2 linked regions of the Coturnix japonica genome follow. The protein of the gene in region 2 interacts with the protein of the main gene of each other region in a pairwise test. Links are inferred from orthologs where the notes say so. Each region holds a gene or a part of one and is shown on either strand. Other genes may lie near its edges.

What was found. The genes of interacting proteins can lie anywhere in the genome.
Region 1: the proteins of ATP10B (region 2) and TMEM30A interact in a protein complementation assay, tested with the Homo sapiens proteins (2 studies listed by IntAct, with this or other methods). The link is inferred for Coturnix japonica from reciprocal best matches to the Homo sapiens genes ATP10B and TMEM30A.

What each region holds. Positions count from the first base shown.
Region 1 is NC_029518.1:73,686,558-73,696,185, reverse strand, and holds the end of TMEM30A (cell cycle control protein 50A), read right to left. Parts: coding exon 9,546-9,628; intron 8,899-9,545; coding exon 8,791-8,898; intron 8,287-8,790; coding exon 8,199-8,286; intron 7,796-8,198; coding exon 7,652-7,795; intron 6,577-7,651; coding exon 6,370-6,576; intron 4,282-6,369; coding exon 4,088-4,281; 3' UTR 2,002-4,087; downstream 1-2,001. UniProt on the Homo sapiens protein: Accessory component of a P4-ATPase flippase complex which catalyzes the hydrolysis of ATP coupled to the transport of aminophospholipids from the outer to the inner leaflet of various membranes and ensures the maintenance of asymmetric distribution of phospholipids.
Region 2 is NC_029528.1:9,787,220-9,798,146, forward strand, and holds the start of ATP10B (probable phospholipid-transporting ATPase VB), read left to right. Parts: upstream 1-4,494; 5' UTR 4,495-5,395; coding exon 5,396-5,898; intron 5,899-10,927. UniProt on the Homo sapiens protein: Catalytic component of a P4-ATPase flippase complex, which catalyzes the hydrolysis of ATP coupled to the transport of glucosylceramide (GlcCer) from the outer to the inner leaflet of lysosome membranes.

The DNA of each region.
Region 1 (9,628 bases), on a different chromosome or scaffold from region 2:
ATTACTTAAAACATCTCACCATTTCATCCTGTGACATCCAAGCACTATCAGTTAGTCTCGCACGTAACTCTAGTATTAAGTTTGCTTCTTTGAGGTCACATTTACCTGAAATCAGGGTTTAGGAAGAAGAAATCCTATCCATTTTCTTTCAAATTAATTGCTATAATAATAATAATAAAAACCCCTTAGCTTCATTAGTTACGAGTCATGCTTTTATTTCTGCTTACTTATTTCCAACATAAAATGAGAACAACTATTTCCAACAGCAGAAATTGGCATAAGCTCAAGCAACAGACATTATTACTATAATTCATGTGCTGGTTGAGCAGAAGAAAAGAGTTTCTTATTTGCGACCCAGGTCATATAAGGATATGGATTCTTATCAGGCTTATGATCACAGTCCATCTAAATCAAAACCATCAAGAGCTCCCATTTAAGGCATACTATGTTAATTAAATCATATTCTGTGAGCTAAAATGCATGGAACTGTAACATGAAAGTACTTCTGCTGATCCAAGGAAGATATGTAACTGGGGCCTTCTATCTTAGGAGTCCATACATTGACCACATTGCTAAAAAGACAGCTGGAATAAAAGTAGCTTGACCATTCACTTCCTTCCCCTACCAAGCAAGAGTTTTCTTTTGGCAGGCTGTTCAACACAGACACAAGCACTCAAAAATGTCATTTTATTTATAAGTAACTGATTGTAACTAGGCTGATACAGCCCCTCATAGGACTACCTTGGTATGTATTTGTTGTTATTATTGTTGGGACATTGATGAAGGCTTCTGCACTGTTGCCCTCTTCCTTTCTAACTCTTCAAAATTAGTTGAGTTGCAGAGAGCAACACACAGTAACAAATATAGAATTTCTATAAAGCAAATACAAAAGATATTGGTCTTATGTAGGACCAAGGTAGGATCAGATTTTCAGGCATTTTCTGCTACTTGGCAGACTCAAGCAGATGTTACCTGACATTAGATTGTCAAAGATTTCTATAAAAAGACAAACCTTGTGTTCTTCAAGGTTTAACATTCATAATTAAAGCAAAACCAGGCTGCTGACACTGTGGTTTCAGTACCAATGTGACCTTCAGAGGCAAAGGCTACAAAGAATTCTTCACATTCAAGTTTTAAGGCGATAACTCTTCCCTCTGACTCAGCTAATCACAACCAACAGCTCTCCAAATAGCCCAAAGCAATTTAAAAGTACCCAAGGGGCCCTCTGCTTTGCTACAGCTGTGCAGATTTTAACAAGGCTGGAAGGAAGATGGACACACACAAAGGATTTTGTTTTAAAAGCTCCTGCGTAAGACAGAGACACATCCTAGTTTCCCACATTAATTTCTCCAGGAAAGATTCATTCACAAGTAGGATGTCCTAACACCGCCTGCTTCCAGGAAGCCTATAATCTCATGCTTTGGGCACTGCCTCAACAGGGTGGGATTTGGAAAGTGCCTGGCTGGCACTTGGAAACGAGAGGCATTGCTTTCCAGATCTGAACACTAGCAGTTGTGTGGAACGGATGTCACTGAAGGACCAGGGCACAGGTGGTCAGCTCCAACACACGGCACACAGCACTGGGACAGCAACACCGCCCTGACAAGTGTCAGACAGGGACACTGTGGCTTTGTCTTTGAACACATGACACATTGGCAGCTTCCAGGAAACGCAAAGTCTAAGAATCCCAGTAGTTACCTACGTGCTACCAAGGCAAACGAAGAAGAGTAAAGTAAGAGATTACAAGTTAGACCTAATATTTTGACTTCCTTGGGCATAATGTTCATATTCATAGTATCATAGTATCATAGTCTTGTGCGGGTTGGAAGGGACCTTAGAGATTATTGAGTCCAACCCCTGGGATTCGAGCCTCCTGTGTAGCAGAGCGGCGCTTCTACCACTTGTGCCACAGGGGGGATTCGAACTCGGGCCTCCAGTGTTGCAACGCAGCATTCCTACCACTGCGCCACTGCATACTGACAAGTATTTTGTGCTACAGGCTTTCAGAAAAAAGGCTTTATTTGTAGCAAGAACAAACATTCAGCAATTCTTCTTGGTGCACTTCATTAAGAAGATCCAAACAGCAGTGACAGCTGTGCTCAACAGGAAAAGAAAAAAGCAATGAAAAACATTTCTAGGTAGAGATAGAGAAATATTCTTTTCCATTTTGAACGCAGCCCAAAAACCAGCATTCCCTGCTCAGAAAAGGGGTCATGAATAAAGCAAAACATTTACCTTTCAAGTGACAAATGGTTTAAAAATCAAAATATTTTAGTAAGCAGTAAATGGGAAACATCTTACTTGTCTACTTTGTTTTGGACTAAACTGTTCTCCAGAGGAATGCCAGCTTAACATCTTGTGCAACCTTCCAACCTTGCAATATACAGTTCTATATCTTTATCCTATATTTCCAGCAACAGATACAGCACTGCAAAAAAATCTAGAAGACCTGAATGTTTAAAAGCCCTGCGCTACCACAATGTACTGTGTAAGCAAATTATATGCTTATACAGAAAGCCAGCACCATGGAAACACTGCTTCATCCTGCAGTGTATGCAGACCTAAACACGTAAACCGCAAGCTGAAAAACATTACACAAGTAATTGACTAAATATAGTTTTGCATTTATGTGCTAGATTAATACAGTGTTGTATAAAGATGGCTGTAGATGTTACATTGATTTTTTGTAACTGAGAAATACAACTTGCTTAAAACGCATTCATTCTTCATGAGAATGGCTTTTCACCCAGATGAAAATAAATGCACGTTCAAGAAGAAAGTAAAATCTCTTAATAAATGGTTTGCAGAATTTATTAGGTATTTTTAATACACTCAGTACTTACGAAGCTAGTTGCATATAAAGTGATCTCCACCATATACATTACAATTTCTGTGCATCATCTAAAAAGAAATCAGATAGTATTTTATAGATTAACTAGCTTCAAATTAACCTAGAAGTGAACCCTTCTGCTGTTTATGACACTAAACCTCACTGCTTCTAACTGCAATATTTCAATTAGGTTTCACTGCAAACATAAGCTGCACTGGAATAACAAAGATCACTGTCATCTCAGCTTCTCAATTTCTACAGTTCAGTATCTCAACACTGCAAGAATTTATTGTGGCATCTACTCCATATAAGGAAACAGAACGTGAGATTTCCTTTACAACAAAGCCTGCTCAGCAGAATACATGTTTCAAGAAACTCTTAGTGAAAGGAATTCACTCAAGTCTGTGACTTGAACAGACATTTTAGATTCATCTTGCTTACTGCATGGAGGTACTCTTTAAAAAGCAAAACCAGCAAAGCACATCAGGAAAACTGGATATAACTTAAAGCAAAGAGAACAACAAAACAGCAGGTTCTACCTGCAACAAACATCTCCCAGTTTAGAACAAAATTTAAGAGGAACTCATAGAGATAATGAACAAATAGGTTTCCCGATGCCTTTATAGAATGCCATTTTACTGGCCAGGCACATCTGTTGCAACTATTAACAGGAATTCCATGTGTTGCAATTCGCACTGCACTTAAAGAATCTAACGTAACAAAGGTGGGTAGGACACAGGAAAGAACATTTAACTGCTAATATAAATATATTAAAATCTCATCCGGAAATGTAAGAGTCCATGCACACAAGACAATAAATTGAAAAAAACACTTAAGACTTGCCTTTTCCTTTCAAAAGCAATGACACTCAAATTCTGCTAAATGAACAATTTACATGGTATCTTACAACAGTCTTCTCCACAATCTGTATGTACTGAATCATACTGACGTTACACAGCACATGACAAGCAGCAGATGCATCAAGGGAACCGGAGCTACATGCATCAAATGGCCTGCCCAGCCAGAGGCAAAGATCAGAAAACTGTTTCTGACAAATGCAGAGATACAATCAATACAGCTAATTGTATACCCGTCATTCTGAGAGTTAATCCACAGCAAGGGGGAAAGGAGATCTTTAGATAAAATTATATACCCAGCCCCAGAAGTGACATTAGCAGAGATTTATCTTCCAACAGCTGGGTCCGTTCTGGACTGGCCTTGATGCACATGCAGCATAGTTGCTTTCAAAACGCGACTTTAATTGGGAATGTCTGCACTGGTGTTTCTATTTCCATATTTGTGATGGATGATCAGCAATACAACTCCTAAGAAGAAGCATATGGACCCAACAGTGATGTACGCAATGCCCAGGAAGGGGTTTTTGCCTCCCATCCATGAGATTGTGCTTAGGATCATTCTTTTTCGTCCATCAAAACTGTGCACGGGATAATCTGAGAGAAAACAAGGAATATAGGAAAACAAGAAACATGAAGTGCATTTCCAAACCTAACTTAATCAGGCACACTAACATGTTGGATTATCTGACTCAGGCTCCCGACACAAACATCTTTGAATATTCAAAGTAGCTTCAAAGTAGCTGTTCTTTTAAAAAAAGATTAACTTGGGCACAGTCAACTACTCCAAGAAAAATGCCACAGGGGTTATTCACTTTGTAAGTGGAAAGTAAATGCAGTTTCATGGGCCTTTGAAAGGAACTTCAATAAAATGAAGAAAATACACTGAGGAATTGAAATCTGTATTTTAGTTTTTCCTAGTGAATAAATAGATAAATAATAAATAGACTCTTTTTTACACGCACTCTCTGCTGTTTTGCAGGGAAGAAAAATACTGCAGTGAGTACTTTAATGATCTTCAGGAGCTTTCGAGTTTTAAGAATTCAGTAACTATGACAACCTGCCTCCTCTAGTCTCCTACATAACTACCTCATCTTTTGTGTGCCCAAAAAGGAATGACAGATGTGCACCTGATCCACAGCTCTGGCCTCTAAATTCTGAGCTCTTCACCTCTAAATTAACAGCTCAAGCAAAGCATCACCTGAACTATGCCTACACATCTTCCTGTTAGACTGCAGTCTGTCTGCTTCTGTATCTACCCAAAAAATTATCACATGAAAATGCTCCCATGCAAAGACTGCAGCCTCAATCCCTTGAAGCAGGCAGCAGGGACTGCAAGGAGCCACATATGTGAACAAGCTGTGTGAGACTAAGGGTGAATGAGGCTGACCATACCCCTCTAAGCACTCAAGCATACTGAGAAGACACTAGTGTCTAGACTAGTGTCCTTCATTTGCTTACTGGCAAATTTTGCACTGAAATCTTCCCTGATATTAATTTATAATCTCACAAAGGCCTCTTTAGAAGACTGGGGTGCTGTTGTTTTTTTTTTTGTCCCCCCATTTTGTGATCTCTGAAAACAGAAACAAAAAAAAAAATCCAAATAATATTTTCATCCTCATTAAATACATAATGCAGTTCTATGAGAGCTACACAATAGTTTAAGAAAATTATGATTAAAACTGTATTTACATTGAAGAATATGAGCCTAAGTGAAAAAACTTGCAATAAGGCTACAAATTTACAAGTCATTCCTGTATTAGATTGTATCTGAAGATCCAGCTGACTCCGCAGCATTGTGTTTTTCTCCCTCCACCCTCGTCATCAGGCAAGTGTGATGTGCTTTAAGTTAAAAATGAAACACAAGAGGTAAAATCCTACATTTCTAAAGAATAATATTCTCAAAAAGATACTTGATCTCCCTGGTGACAGGATGAGGGGAAATGGCCTCAAGTTGCACCAGATAAGTTTAGGCTGGATATCAGGGAAAACTTCTTTAATGAAAGGGCTGTTAAGCGCTGAAATAGGCTCCCCAGGGAGGTGGGTTGAGTCACCATCCCTGGATGTGTTTCAGAACCATTTGGATGTGGTGCTCAGAGTCATGACTTAGCAGAGGGCTGTTAGTTAGGGTAGCATGGTTAGGCTGCGGTTGGACTTGATGATCTTTAAGGTCCTTCCCAACCTGAGTGACTCTATGATTCTACGAAAGTCACCTTGGCAAAACCTTCACCATAAAGTCAACTTCTATAATATAGTAAATTCTTTGTGACTTTCTATATGGTATAGCCACAGACATACCACAAGTCTGAGTGATTGCATGAGACAGGAACATGGTTTTTGCAGACTGTCACATCCCTCCTATGCATCAAAGAAAGCTTTCTCTCTTTCCTAGAACAATGGATTTTGGTTTTTAATTAGAGCTACTTCTTACTTTAGCATAACTAGCTCAGACAACTCCATGCTTCAGGTGGCCATTCTGAAGTCAAGATGACCCAGTCATTTCCCTTTATGAAGCTACGGAACTGAATTTCATGATCTTAACAGAACAAACATAAGTTAGTTCTATAAACTATATGCAGAAGACAGCAATTATAAAGTCTCATTTGATTTAACCTTCCTTAAAAGTCCACCCATGTAACCCAGACAGTGTTCTAAGGAGTTTTTAAGGGCATTTTCAAAGGATACTGTACGTGATATCCAAAGAATATTTTCCAGCCTGTAAGGTAGGCTGTAAGTTACTCTTCCTCTCAATGAGACGATACAGCTTACGAAATGTTGGCAGAGCAGCAGTACGCATCCACACGATAAAGTCTTCATTGATAAAGCCATTGTTGTCAGGCTCAGAGTCCAGCATATACACTGGTTTGGGCCAGTTGACTGGTTTTGTTGTACCTAAGATTAAACAAAAACAACAATAAAGCATTTCAAACACAGGACTAAATGAAGCACTGGATCACCAAAATTCATTCTAGTATCATAAAAAACATGCAGTGAATCCTAAGCAGTACGAAGAGCCAGACTGGCTCATTGCTACTGCAAGATTACTGAACTGCTCAGGAACATTAGAGTATGGCATCTGCCTTTGCAAGGGTAACATCACTTTGGTAAGGTCACTTGGCTGTGACTAAGCAAGCAAGACATATCAGGCTAAACCTAGAGCTATTTTCTATCTTACATATACACACAGACCCAAAAGCCCAGAAGGAAAACTGCTTTTAGACTTTGTCAAAGAAACTCCGACTTACCAGGCTGTACTTAACTACATTTAACCTTATAACTGAGAAAAATCAGTTAATCTGATCACAAATAATCAGATTTTAAAAAGCACTGTAAGATCTACCAGTAGAAACATTAAAAAAGAAAATTTCACACAGTTTGGTTAAATAATCACAGGATTTCTTCTGAAGTTAAAACCACGTATTATAGCACTGCACTTAACGAGGATTTTCTCAGTATTCAAGGCATAAAAAGTTATCAAGAGCTATTATATATATACATATATATATATACACACACACACACACATATATATATATCAGAATTTGATTTGATATTTCAAGATCCCAAACGGCAACAAGTAATTGAAATATCACTTAAGCCAAGAATCTTTTCACCATCTTAACAAATTGGATTAGTTGCTAAGGCAAAACTAATCTGATGCCAAGCAACTGACAGAAAGAGCTTTCATGAAAGTTCAGAAAGATTAAACAGGAAATAAGCCCAGGTTCTATTTTTACATGTTAAATGACTACAGTGAATTTAGAAAAAATTATATTAGTTCTGCATTAAATTTGCAGCATCCACTGTTAACAGACAACTCTTCCAGAAAGCAGAGAAGTCCTTAGCTTGGACTTCTTCATAGAACAATATATTTAACATGTTCACTACAATGTCACCATTGAGGTGAAGTCCATGGCAATCAATGTGTTTGAAATCTTTTGTTCTTAAAATTTCACACATTTCTTACCTTGGAAGAGCGCAGTTAAATTCTTTCCATCTCCTGTAGGATTCCTGAACTTCACATTTTTATCTGTCCACCACGCAATGCCTTTTTTAATCAAAGTAATAGCGGTCCTTGTGTCGTTTTCGATGTGGTACAATTCCAATGTATCTATGGGGAAAATCAAATTGGAAGACCAGATAAGAGTGGCTTTTATTAGATGAATGATCCTGATAGGCAGTAAAATAATTATCTACAGGAAAAACAAATTGCCACAATCAAGAACTGTTCTGTAATAATCCACACACATACAGAGCAGTGCGTTATACATGTATAGCATCTTTATTCCACAGCCATAACAGCCACTCACAACAGATGTTTCAATCCCTTGTGTGCTATCAGGTTAAATTCACTGTGGTGGTTATTAATGGTATTTTAATCTCAACATTCCAAACAATTAAGGTGTGTTAATTCAAAACAAAACAATCCACAATAATACCCAGAATAAAGCATCAGTACAAAGCATACACAACACAAAAACACCTCAGTGCTAAACTCAGAAGTGTTACCGTACCATTAAACATACTGTTGGCAATAGCCCCACAGGGAGCAATGGGTTTATCCTCATTGGTGCGGTAAGGCTCACATTCCTTACTTGGATTCTGACAGTTAGAAAGAAAAAAAGGCAGATCAGTCTGTGCTAGTTTATACTTCAGTACTTCACACACGTACACAGCTCACACTTACTACAAAATATTCTCAGGAGTGAGTTTATTTACATATACTTCAGCATTCATTGCTAATCGATATGATTGATTTTTTTCTTTACAAGCAGGAAAATATTCTAGATAAAATATGAATAAAGTCAAAAATCCCATGATGGTCATTGTAAAATTAAGACTGTGCTTAGAAACTGTTAAAAGAGGGGAAAAAATGTTCTAACTGGAATGTTATTTATTTTTAATAAATAAAAGAATTAAGAATTTAATAAATAAAAGAACGTTTATTATTTTTAATAAAAAATATGAATACCTTATTGTTTGTTGAATACAAAAATTCTACAGCTACGTTATTATTAAACTAGTTATTCTGCCCTGTGATAACTTATGCAAGTCAGCTGTTCATTGCCTACTAGTATCTGTAAATATCAAAGCTCGAATACCTACAAGTAATGAGCTGTTGTCTCCGTTGAGTTGGCTGTCATCTCGAGATTTCACATAGCGACGGTGGTTTTGATAGAAGTTAGAAAGTCCGTAATACATGAAGACGTTACTCTACAAGAAGGGTTTTGATTTACACAACAGGTCAATAAAACACACAAACATGCTGGTTAACTGAAACCTGGAAATCCAACCTCTTAAATTGTATTTACTTTATAGTAACACTCACAGTAGTGATGCTCAAAGACTCTCTTTGTACTGAATACACACAATACTATCCCAACAAAAGCTGGCATCCTGAAGTCAAACAATATCAACATGCCATAAACCAGCAGCAGGATATTCATCAGTACTATCCCAATACTTACCTTGTCCAACACCAAGCACATAAGCCTCATTATTTGCCTCAAAGAATGCATCTAGTGCTGCTGCTTCCTGCTGAACTCAGTTTAAGTTGTGCAGGAATAGCTTATCTACATGTCAAGTATATGACGCCCACCTAGGACACAGACAGTAAATCCAGATGTGTAAAAGACACGTGTCCCACTTAACACTGCAATTCCAGATAGAGAGGCACTAAAAACCATCTCATCTCTGCTAATGAAAAGACACACAGCCATCAAATCCAAGTTCATAGGAATACTAGAAATAATCCTTCAAGGCAGACACAAAGTAAGGCTGTGAGAATGCAATTTTCCTATCACTTACAAAATAAACCACATCAGCAGATCTCATTTCACTTTGCATGCAAGGTTATGTACCTCAAATGAATGTTCCAGTGTGAAATTGATTGTGCAGGTACAAGGCGGTGTGCTATCCCAGGACACATTTAAACACTTGTTGC
Region 2 (10,927 bases):
CTCCTTTTCTTTCTAGGGAATTCAAACTTTTTTTCAACACCTTTCTGTCAACAGTGTGAATGATAGTGTTTCTGTTCACAGGGATTCTAAGTCTTTCATCGAGCATCAGAAGTCTAGAAAACTTGTTTAGACTTAAATCCTATTATTTGATGGGAGATGCACCAAGGTTTTCATGCTTAACTTCTTGCTTTTCATGTTTCAGGAAGTTTGATGTGGGCTTGTGAAATAACATGACCATGTCTAGCCTTCTGTTAACACCAGATACACACTTTTCACTTCAAACCTGAATATAATCGGGTGTCTGCTTGTTACCTTTACTAGAAATAAGTTATACTTTAATTACTTATATGTTGCATGAGATATTTTGTCTTGTGTTAGCTTTTTTGCATGTCTCTTCCACTTGGAGGTCAGAAAAGAGGGACCAAACTGAACCCAAACAGAGGTTAGGTTAAGTACGCCTTTGTCAAATCACTCTCTCTCCCCTGCAGACCATATCTGACTCATAACACATTGCCTATAATTCATCTATGGTCTCAGTCCCATGGGGATGCTGTTTTTAATTCCCTTGCAGCAAGCCCTGAAGGCTGATTAGCTGCATGGATGCTGACTACACTCAAGCATCTATATGAATATGGCCTTCATGGATCAAGAATGCTTATAAATTGTTTTGCTTTCTAAGTACATATTAACCCATTATCACAATGACAACTGCTTAACACTGTAGTAGCTAATCATTCCACAGGTGAATACTGTTACTGCAAACACAGTGAAGTCATCTAAAGTCTATGGATAAGTGCTGGAATCCTAGTTTGTGGTGCACAGCACAAGTAACAGCAAGTCCAGCTTCTTTTGCTTGCTTGTTCAGATATTTACACCTTTTTGAACTCCTAGAAATTCATAGTTTCAACATCCCGTCAAGTTATCATAGCATTAGATCTGATTCATTGAATATTATAACTTAAATTTGTATCAATGAAGCCAGTACAACCAAGATCTGATAGGTAGAAATTGGTCATTCTACTCTCACTGTAGAGGATCCCTGGGTGTTGCTGTGTGACATGAACTCTCAATGATTTTTCTGAGCACCTAGTGAGCAAAAGTGCATAAACCTTCCTTGTTTCTTGCTGTTACCACAACCCACTTCAAAGGTGTTAGTGCAGTTCAGTAGTCTACATTTCCCCATCCTGTGACTGTATCACATACATGTTTTTAAATATGGCTATGTTTGTTGTTTTTTTTTTCCTCTTTCTTTCTTTCTTTTTTTTTTTTTCCTAAAGGAAATCACATTGCATTCAGTAATAAAGGCATTTTGGATGAGGAAGCTGAAAGCTGAGGGGAAAAAAAGACACAGCCTGTAATAAAGGCATAAACTCTTTCAAAGTACACTATTTTGAAATGAGTCTATTGAGACTTGCATGAGTTAAACACTAAATGACCGTAGTCTAAGATTAAATATTTAAATATACACACACACACACACATATATATATATAAATATATATATATATAATTTCCCACAGCCCAGTTGAGGTGGGTTCAGTTCACAGTTCTGGTTCAGAGGAACTGTGAAGTTGCACAAAACAGTGTATTTCCTTGTTTTTTCACATTTGCTGCTTCAGCTTCACAAGGCAGCTTCTGGTCCCCAGGCTCCTGCTGCTGAGATTCTACTGTGCTTGGATTGAGCATAATAAAACACTGCTGGAGCCTGAGTGTCCTGGCCATTCGATTGCAATTGTGAATGTGTGAACAAGTCAGAAGACAAGTGTTCAGTGATAACAGGATTAGTATTAGGAGATTGAATTCTTTTATCTCTCCAATGATTGTTTTAGTGCTGCTAGGCATTTTCCATTTAAATGAGATTTCTATGGAGCTTCTAGAAAACTATTATGAGAACGTACAGGAGACTAAGCTGATGTTGCAGTTCATTACTATCTGAGATTTGAGATTCAACACCTGAGTCTGTCATTTTTTAAGTGTGAAAAGAAAAAGTATTGTAAGGAAGTCTGAAACTCTTGAAGAAAAATGCCTGAATGGATTTGGTGGCTGTTGATGACTGAAGAAAACAACACAGATTTTGTTTACAGAAAAGCTGTTGTTCACATCTGTTAAACTGATTTTATCTATGTTAGTTTCCTGTTATACAATACAGAAAATGGAAGTGGGCTTTCTTTTGCCTGGAGATAGAAATGGATTTTTCATTACTGAATATTTTGTTGTAACTCTTATTCCATGCATTCTCTGTAGAAAGTGCTGAGCTCAAAGGCTGATCATGTAATGGACTGAACAGTAGCATTGTTGTTTTATACCTCTGCTAGCAAGGTACAAAGTGAATTTTCTACTAGAAGGGAATTGGCTTTCAGTCCTTGTTGTGCATTTGTCTTTCAGCCTGACGGTCCTGCTGTGAATGGCTTTGTCGGTAGACTCAGCTTTGTACCGTTGGCAGCATCTTGGAGCCAAAAGTGCCCCCCAGACTGTGGCGGAATCAACACCTCTGCTGTTTTCTGTCAGAGACAGACTGAAACTCGACTTAAACAAGTGGAGGATTGTGTTTTCCAACAATGGGAGACAGCAGAGAAGCTGGGACCAAGCTACTAGGCTTTATGCTGGAAATAAGATACAGACTACAAAATACACGTGGCTTACTTTTTTGCCCAAAAATCTTTTTAGGCAGTTTCACAGGTAAAAGTGACAATCATCAAGTGGTATATGAAGTATAAGAATTCTTTCTGAAACAGTGATATTTGGAAATGATAGAGAAGGGTTGCTTCTGTAGCTTCCATGTGTTTAAAATTTAGGAGAAGACTCTTTGTAAAAAAATTGTCACCTAATTCATACTGAAGTGGAGGCTTAAAGCAAATAAGTAGTAGGTGGTGTTCTAACCTGTGCCATGGCCACGTTTACTGCTTCAGTACCAGAGCAGCTTTCCTTGGAAAAATTTCAAGTTGCATATCACAATAACTGGTAGTTCCATCTTCATCTCTAGAACTGATATTTCTGTTCTCTTAGACTTATACCTTCATGATTTGATCTTTCATTTTCCACACATGGAATTTTGAGTGAATCCCAATGTGAATTATGAATGTATGTTTTCTGTACTCGTTGCATTGGTTTATTTTTTGAGAGTTGTAAGTGGTGTTGTTTTTCTGTGGGGTTGTTGTGTTGTTTGGTGTGTTGTCTTTTTCTGTGGGGGGATGGAGGGCTCCATAGTAATTTCTTTGTTTGCCCTTTGCTGGAATCTATGATTATTTTCAGAAGTGAGTTTGTGGGAGAACATTAGAGAAGATTCAGCTCCTAGACATATGTGTGTGTGTGTGTGTGTGTATATATATATATATATATATATATATATATATATATATATATATATATACACACACATTTGTACTATTAAGGTAGTTATAATATTATGACAATATAACTCACAAGCTTTTCTAAAGAAAAAAAAATAAGCAACTCAGTTAAATAATTGATTATTTAGGAAAAGGATGAGGTTAGAGATGTGAAACAATTAATGCTTATGGCACGAGATGAGGGATTTTAATTAAGAAGTAACACCTTTAATCCCTTTTTGTATCTTTCTTTACAGGCTAGCTAATGTTTATTTTCTCTTCCTGGTGGTTCTAAACTGGTTCCCACAAATGGAAGTCTTCCACAGGGAGATTACAATGATTCCTCTGATTGTGGTGCTGCTTGCCAGTATGATTAAGGATGCTACTGAAGACTATAAAAAATACCAATTCGATAAGATGATAAACTCCTCTAAAAGCAGAGTATATGACAAGTAAGTAGACCAAACCATTTATTCTCCTTGAGTTTGGTGTGTTGGAAAATGCTTGTTTTGATTTTGTAACAATTCCCTTCCTGACCTTTTGGAGTACAGGAAGTTTGGAAGAGCTGTTATAAAAGACTTTTGTTCTGCTTCAGAAAGTGCTTCATTTATCTCACTCAGGGTCAGAGTTATCCTGAGAAGCTTTGTTCTATATCACAGATTTATGTGCTGATACACCAGTTTTCATTCCAAGTTTCCATACCAGTTTACCAACACAAACAGTATCATCTCCCAGTAGCAGAAGGTTCTGGAGGAAGTCTGGAAAGGATCATTACGGTCTGTTTTTGTTTTTTAATACACGGAAACAACATCTTTCAGAAATTTCGTGATAAAACCATTTATACAAAGTTAATAATCAACTGCATTTATGCGTTCAAGGTGATGTGTAGCCAGGAACTAAGCAAATTTTATAGCATTTCCAGTTAGCACAGGTGATCAAAACAACACATTTTCACTCTGGAAGTGGTACAACACCCACTTGCAGTAAGCTGTGTTGTTTGCTCAGTACTGACTCAGAAGGAAGAAGTATTTTCAAGTGCAATTCTTATTGCAACATTTCGATTTCATCAGAGTTTCTTGTCTAAGTACTAATTTGACTTGAGACTACCTCACTTGTCTCTACATAACACAATAGGAGCTTTGCTTTGTAAGAAGTTTAAATACTTGTGCCTCTTCTATTCTTTCACATCTCCTTATGTCCAAACCATAGAGGAAAAATTACTGTGAAGCCTTCTTGAAAATTAACTCTCATCTGTGCTGATTACTTATGTGGCAAGGGCACAAGGTCCAACAGACTGAAAGAAATGAGAGTCTGCAAGGAGAAAAGGGTGAGAAAGGTCAGAGTTTGAAAAGGAAATGGGAGTCTAGAGGCTGGTCTAACAGGGGAGGAGCTTCAACCTGTGGGGCAACCTGGGTAAACTGCTCTTAAATTGCCTATGTATATTTATAGTTCTTTCTACTAGAAATTTTGTGTTTGTATTAGTGAGTGGGGAGGGACCGGGTGCTTGCTTGTTTGTTGTAATAAATTAAGTTATGAGCTTGAAAGCAAATAGTAGGATGGAAGTAACTAATATCATCTGTACAGAGGCTCATAGTAAATTGGTTGACTTCTGTACTCAGAGCTCAGCCCTTTACCTTTGAACTTCCTGGATGCTAACAGGCTTATAAAACGATTCAGAAACACTTAGAGTGAATGGTGAAAACTGCGTGTATGTTCTTAGTTTCATCTGTGCAGCGCTGAAACAGAGGTACTTCATGTGAGCAGACACATGATTCCAGGGAAATACTCTGGGGCCTCCAGGCATGTAGTAACAGGAATAACAAAACATTCAGGATGTTTTTCTCGTGTGTGACGTGTAGCCTTCCCAGCAAGCTTTAGGACCCGGAGCAGCTGGGTCAGGAAGATACCTGTTCACAGGCAGGTGGATGCTGGAGTCAGCGACAAGCAGCCCTGGGCTCCCGACAGCTTGAGTCTTCCCTCCACCACTTTGGAGTTTATGTGGGTTACTGAACTCTACTAGCTTTGTTAGCCTATGACTTGAGGCTACTTTTTGAGAGGACAGCAAGATGTCAAGGAGGAATTTTCCAGGCTGCTTCTCTAAGATGGTATGGAAAAAACATTTTTTCAAGGAAACCTGCTGTCAGTGTGTTGCTTCAGACACAGAACCCCAAAATGAAGTGCTGGAGAAGAGAGGAAAACTAAAGAAAAGAAGGAAGAAAAATGAAAATAAGCGAGTGATCATCTCCAATTTGTCTTTTGGAAATATGAAGTGGAAGGAAAATCCAAACAGATACTATGACTCCAATAAAATTAAGACCACAAAATACAGCATCTTGACTTTCTTCCCTAAAAACATCTATGAGCAGCTTCACCGCTTTGCCAATATTTATTTTGTGGTCATTGCACTACTGAATTTTGTGCCGGTGGTGAATGCTTTCCAACCAGAAGTTTCTTTGATCCCTATTTGTGTTATAATGGCCATGACAGCCATTAAAGACGCTTGGGAGGACTTTCGGCGGTATAAACTAGACAAAGAAATCAATCACATGGGTTGTTACATTTACAGCAGGTGAGCTTTTTTTTTTTTTTTTTTCCTTTTTTTTCAAACAGCTTTTACTTTGGAAAATGTTGACTTGAGATCTTTTATCAATTGTGAGGTTTCTTGTTTAAAGTATCAATTAATGCCTGCTAGAAAATCACAGTGATTAAGTGAAGTGGTATAAAGTTGCAGTGACTAGATAACACCCATACTTGGTCTGATAAAAAGATGTTCCTATTTTGCTTAAATCTATTGTTCAGACTGGAAAGGAAAATTTTTGTTTCATGGCTCTGCAGTGGCTATTGGCCTCTTAGACGTGGAGTGTTTAAATAGCTGCCGAGCCCTGGAGTTCTAAGGAATTTTCAGCAGAGCTGAATTCTGCCAATAAGGTGCAGAACAAGATTTGCACAAACAATATAGCACAGAACAAGATCATTCATGCAAATGGGTCCTTGTTTGCTTAGAGGCCATGAAACCTTTGAAAAACATTGCTAGTGCTTTGAATTAATTTCAGTTTTATATTCCAGTCTGCAGGCTGCCTTCCAGTTGTGTTTTTGGGTTTTCTTTTATTTATTTATTTACTAGATTATATGTTAAACAAAAATGAATATAAGCGTATTTTAAAAATTTGAGGTAGTAACATATTTCTGTTTGATCTTCTCTAAATGAATTATCTCTAAATATCTGTGACATTTTCAAAATGTTTAATGACCTCTTAAACTTAGGACATTTGTTGTATTAAAACTGTTATCAACATAGAAAATGGCTTCTGCCTCCTTAAATATCACATAGGGTACCAGCAGAGCAAAACTTATAATTTACCTGAACTTTATTTATCATTCCTCCAGTTAATCAGCAGTGCTTTATACAGTGTATGTTCTCACAAGTAGGATCTTGTAAATCTCTAACTTTTATCACAGAGTTCTGCCATTGCTGTTTCTTGCTCTTGCATGTGTTTGTCGGATTTTTATTTTCATATCCTGCTGGTTAAACAGAGAAATAATGGATTTGCTTACTTTTACCCCAACATGCAGATAATGATGTGTCAGAATTAAAATCTTTGCTCATTTTGCCAGCGTATCTGGAAAAGTGGGCATTTTACAAGTTTCTAAATATTGCACATCTAAGACTTCTTTTCTCTTCCACCATGAAGACTGTCGATAATTCTCGTTCTTTGAGTAGGTACCTGAATTGCTCCTACCTTTGATGCTCTCAGAGTTATATTAATCCATGGAGCGATGGATGATTTGTTGAGACCACATAACAGGGAATAGTAGGTGATGCAGTAGGTACTAATGAATGCATTGGCATGGAAACATTACTTCCTCTTGACATAAAGCAATTGTGTTAATTTATATGGAGAAGACTTTTACCTTGAGTAAATGAGAATTAGAGAATACAATATAAACTGTTTTCATGTTAAAGAAAAATGTACGTTATAGCATTACAAGGTACAAACAGATCCAGATCCAAGTTGTAGCCCTTTGTACTTTCTTATGCAGAAAGATGAGACAGCACATCTTAACATTGCTCATCCCATTCCATAGGAAGATCTTTGATCTACGAATAAATCTTGTGTCTTACCAGAGTCTTATGGCCCAAAGCAGTGACGTAAGAGAAAGAATGAATATTAGAGTGTGAAGGCTTCCTTATTTTTCTATCTGGAAAAAGTGTTGACAATTGTAATTGCCATCAGATCTGTAGTTGCAGCTTATTATATAATGAATAATTTTAATCAGGCTTCTATAGCTTTTAGGGAAGCTGGTAGGTCTTGTTCTTCCTGCTAGCTGCAAAGTCATGGAAGAGTATGATGGCTTCTAATTTTCCTCCTTGTGAATCATCTGCCATAGGTAATTTTTTAACATGAGTGAAAGTTTTTTTGGGGGGGACTGTGAATCTTGTTAATCTTGTGACACCAAAGAATCTTTTGTAATAGAATAACTCCTCTTCATCATAAGATGAAAATTTAATTAGATTTAAAGTATTAATCTTGGAGAGTAAATTGTCTTCATTTCAGATTTCAGAAACAAGAACTCTAGTTCCTGTTCCATAAAACATAAAGTGCACTCCCTTTGCTGAAAGCCAAATGTCCTCCAAAAATGTCTTGAACACCAGAGGAAATGCTGCAACTTGTCTCCTTTCAGTATGGAGCAAGGGAAATTGAATTCAAGTAGACTGCCCTGTAAACACATTACTTCTAATTTTCTTTTCACAGAGGTCAGCTGGAATGGCTAATCTAGCCTGCTAGTCAAATGAAGGAAAAGGCACTTCAAGTAGTGTACTTAAAGAATGCTTAATTGGAGAAGGAAAATTAAATAAATAAATAAATAAATAAATAAAAGAAGAAACAATAATATTAAAGTATCTTGGGAGTTTCAATACCTTAGATCTGATGTTTGATTGCAGACATTTTACTTCCTGACTAAAAGGTTTTTGAAATCATAATTTGTATACAGACTGTTGTGCTGCTAGATTACATCACGCTAAACCTCTATATGAGAACTAAAATACACTTGCTTCTTTTCTCTTAGTCTTCTTTTAATTATTCTTAGTCTTCTGTTAAATATACCTAGTCTGCTTTTAAACTTTTGTAGGAATGAGGCTTCTACCACTACAATATGTGATTATCGAAGCATTTTCTAAGATATTCTGCTTTATTATCCTTCTTTAATTGCATTAAAATTCCTCAAGTGACCTGGTTTCATGCAACCCTAATTATTCTTCATCATCAACATTTAATTATAGTTTTCATGCATGTGTAATTTCTATCATGTTCATTTTGCTACTCCCAGACAGCTTTTAGGCAAGATATGTATACGGAACACCCTTTTAATCTGTCTTGTCAGTCAGTCCCTCCACTCCTATTTTGGTTACTGTTCTCTGAACTCTGTTGAGTTTGTCCCTAACTAACTAACAGGGGCCAGCACTGAGTGTAGCATGCAGGTCTGTAAGTGAATGCCAAGCCAACAGTTACTAAAAGCTATTTAATCACTTCAGCATTCCATAATGTTTGAGAAACCACTTGATGTACGTATGATTAACCTGTGGGCTGGGTCTGATGTTCCTCTAGGACAAAGCTGTAATGGTTGGCAAACACTCCATAACATCCAGACAGGATTTTACATCAACTTCACGCTTCTAGAAAATTGAACCTTAATTTTTCTGTTTATTCTGAATAGATGTTCAGGTTCAAGATGGCAGATCAACATGCTTGATTGAACATGCAAAAAGAGGTTTGTTGCCAACGTTTTCATTTTAAGTCTTCATCAGCAGTGCTGAGTTCTTGCTTGTTGAAGAACAATTTCTTTTTACTCTATTATTTTTGTTTTCTAACAAAGCACAACTTTAAAGACTAGGGTTCTGCTGGGGGCTTAATTGGATTCATTTTGTACACCAAGAAAAAGAGTCTCAAGCTTGTGGTCTGCTTTAAGTCCTGCCATCTTCCCTCGGGCAAAATTGCACTGGATTTGCTTTGGCACAGCCACATCAAGGCTTCTGTATCTTGCTGGTGCTTCCTCTGAATGGCGGATGAATATCAACAACAGGGAATCTCCTGGCTTCATACCCTCAAATTGAACAGTTGTTGGGGGGAATGGCTATGGATGCTTGCTAAGTTCTTTTACTTCACTGACTTCTAATAAGTGTTATGGTTCTTTGATGCTGCTGATGTCCGTAAGACTAAACAGCCTCCTTAGATACCAAAATGATGGCAACATGGTATAAACCAGGGATGAATTGGAATGGATATTTTGACTCAGGTGGTATCTCCAGCTCAGGAATACTGTGTGAAGTTGTTCTGTATTATAAGCTATGGGCAGATTTCATGATCAGTTCCTCTTCAGTATAGTGCCACCCTCAAGTTCTTAATCTGCTCCTATGTTGTCATTTTTTCAGGGTTGTTATGGCAGCAGCTCCTAACCTTGCAATTCATAGCTTTGAAATGGTATTTGAAAGCTTAGTGTGAAGTTTTCCATTTAGAATCCTTGACAGTATGCGTTCAATTTGTATCTGCAAAAATAGGCTGTAATGTTTAAATACCTGTGTAATTCCAGATGTTTGTTGCATAGCACTGAGTATGGTGGAGCACTTTTGATAAAGCGATCCTTGAGGGTGACCATTTTCAAACATAACATGCAAATGAATTTGCATACAATAAAACACAAACATTTGGATTTGCCTGTATGTTAGTCTGATTTTATTTTTTTTGTCCAAACTGTCTGATATTACAGTCTGGTGGCAATTTACAGGTGTGAAAGGTAGAGTAACATCTTTACTACAAACTGCAAGGGAAGCTGACTAGAACTTTTAGTAATTCAGAGGAACCAGACCTACTGAGCTAATAGGTCGATGTAACCATTATACATGGTGAAGGTTTCTGAAGTGGCATGTACGTGGAAAACAGTTTTATTTAATCTCCTCTTGGGAGCAGCACAATATTTTCTTACTTCCTCCTATTCACCACCCCTCCTGACCCAGTCTTTGTTTGAAGTTCATTTTTATTGAATCAAAGAATGTGAAATGACTTTGTGTCAACAATAATTTATTCTTGTTCCCCAACAATTTCCAGCCACAGAAGGCTTTTCTGTATGATTCTTTCTCCCCTAAAATACCTTCATAAAATCCATTCAGTTCAGTCCTTCTCATCAGATATGATGAGTCTAACATCAAATTCTGGCAGACTTCTCCGTGACTGTTCCAGGCTGTCTCTTTCTGTCTGCACTACCCTGTGATGGGTGTTGTTGTGCTACCTGTTATTCCAGGGCAGCCAGGGAATGCTTTTAAGTGTGGTGGTGATAAATTGACTGGTAAAGGAGAGAAGGTAATGGAGAGACTTTCATCCTAGCATAACTTTGATGTGCCACAGCCCTGATGCCTTTCACCATGAGAATCAGACTTTCAACTCCCTACCAACTGAAAATCACCACGTGTTGTTATTTTATTGCATAAATATGTGTGCCTTTTTTACATGCCTCTCGTCAAACCATCTTAGACTCACTAAGCTCTTGTGTTTGTCTAGCAACCAAAGCATGACTTATGAGCCTTAATCAGTGAATGGGAA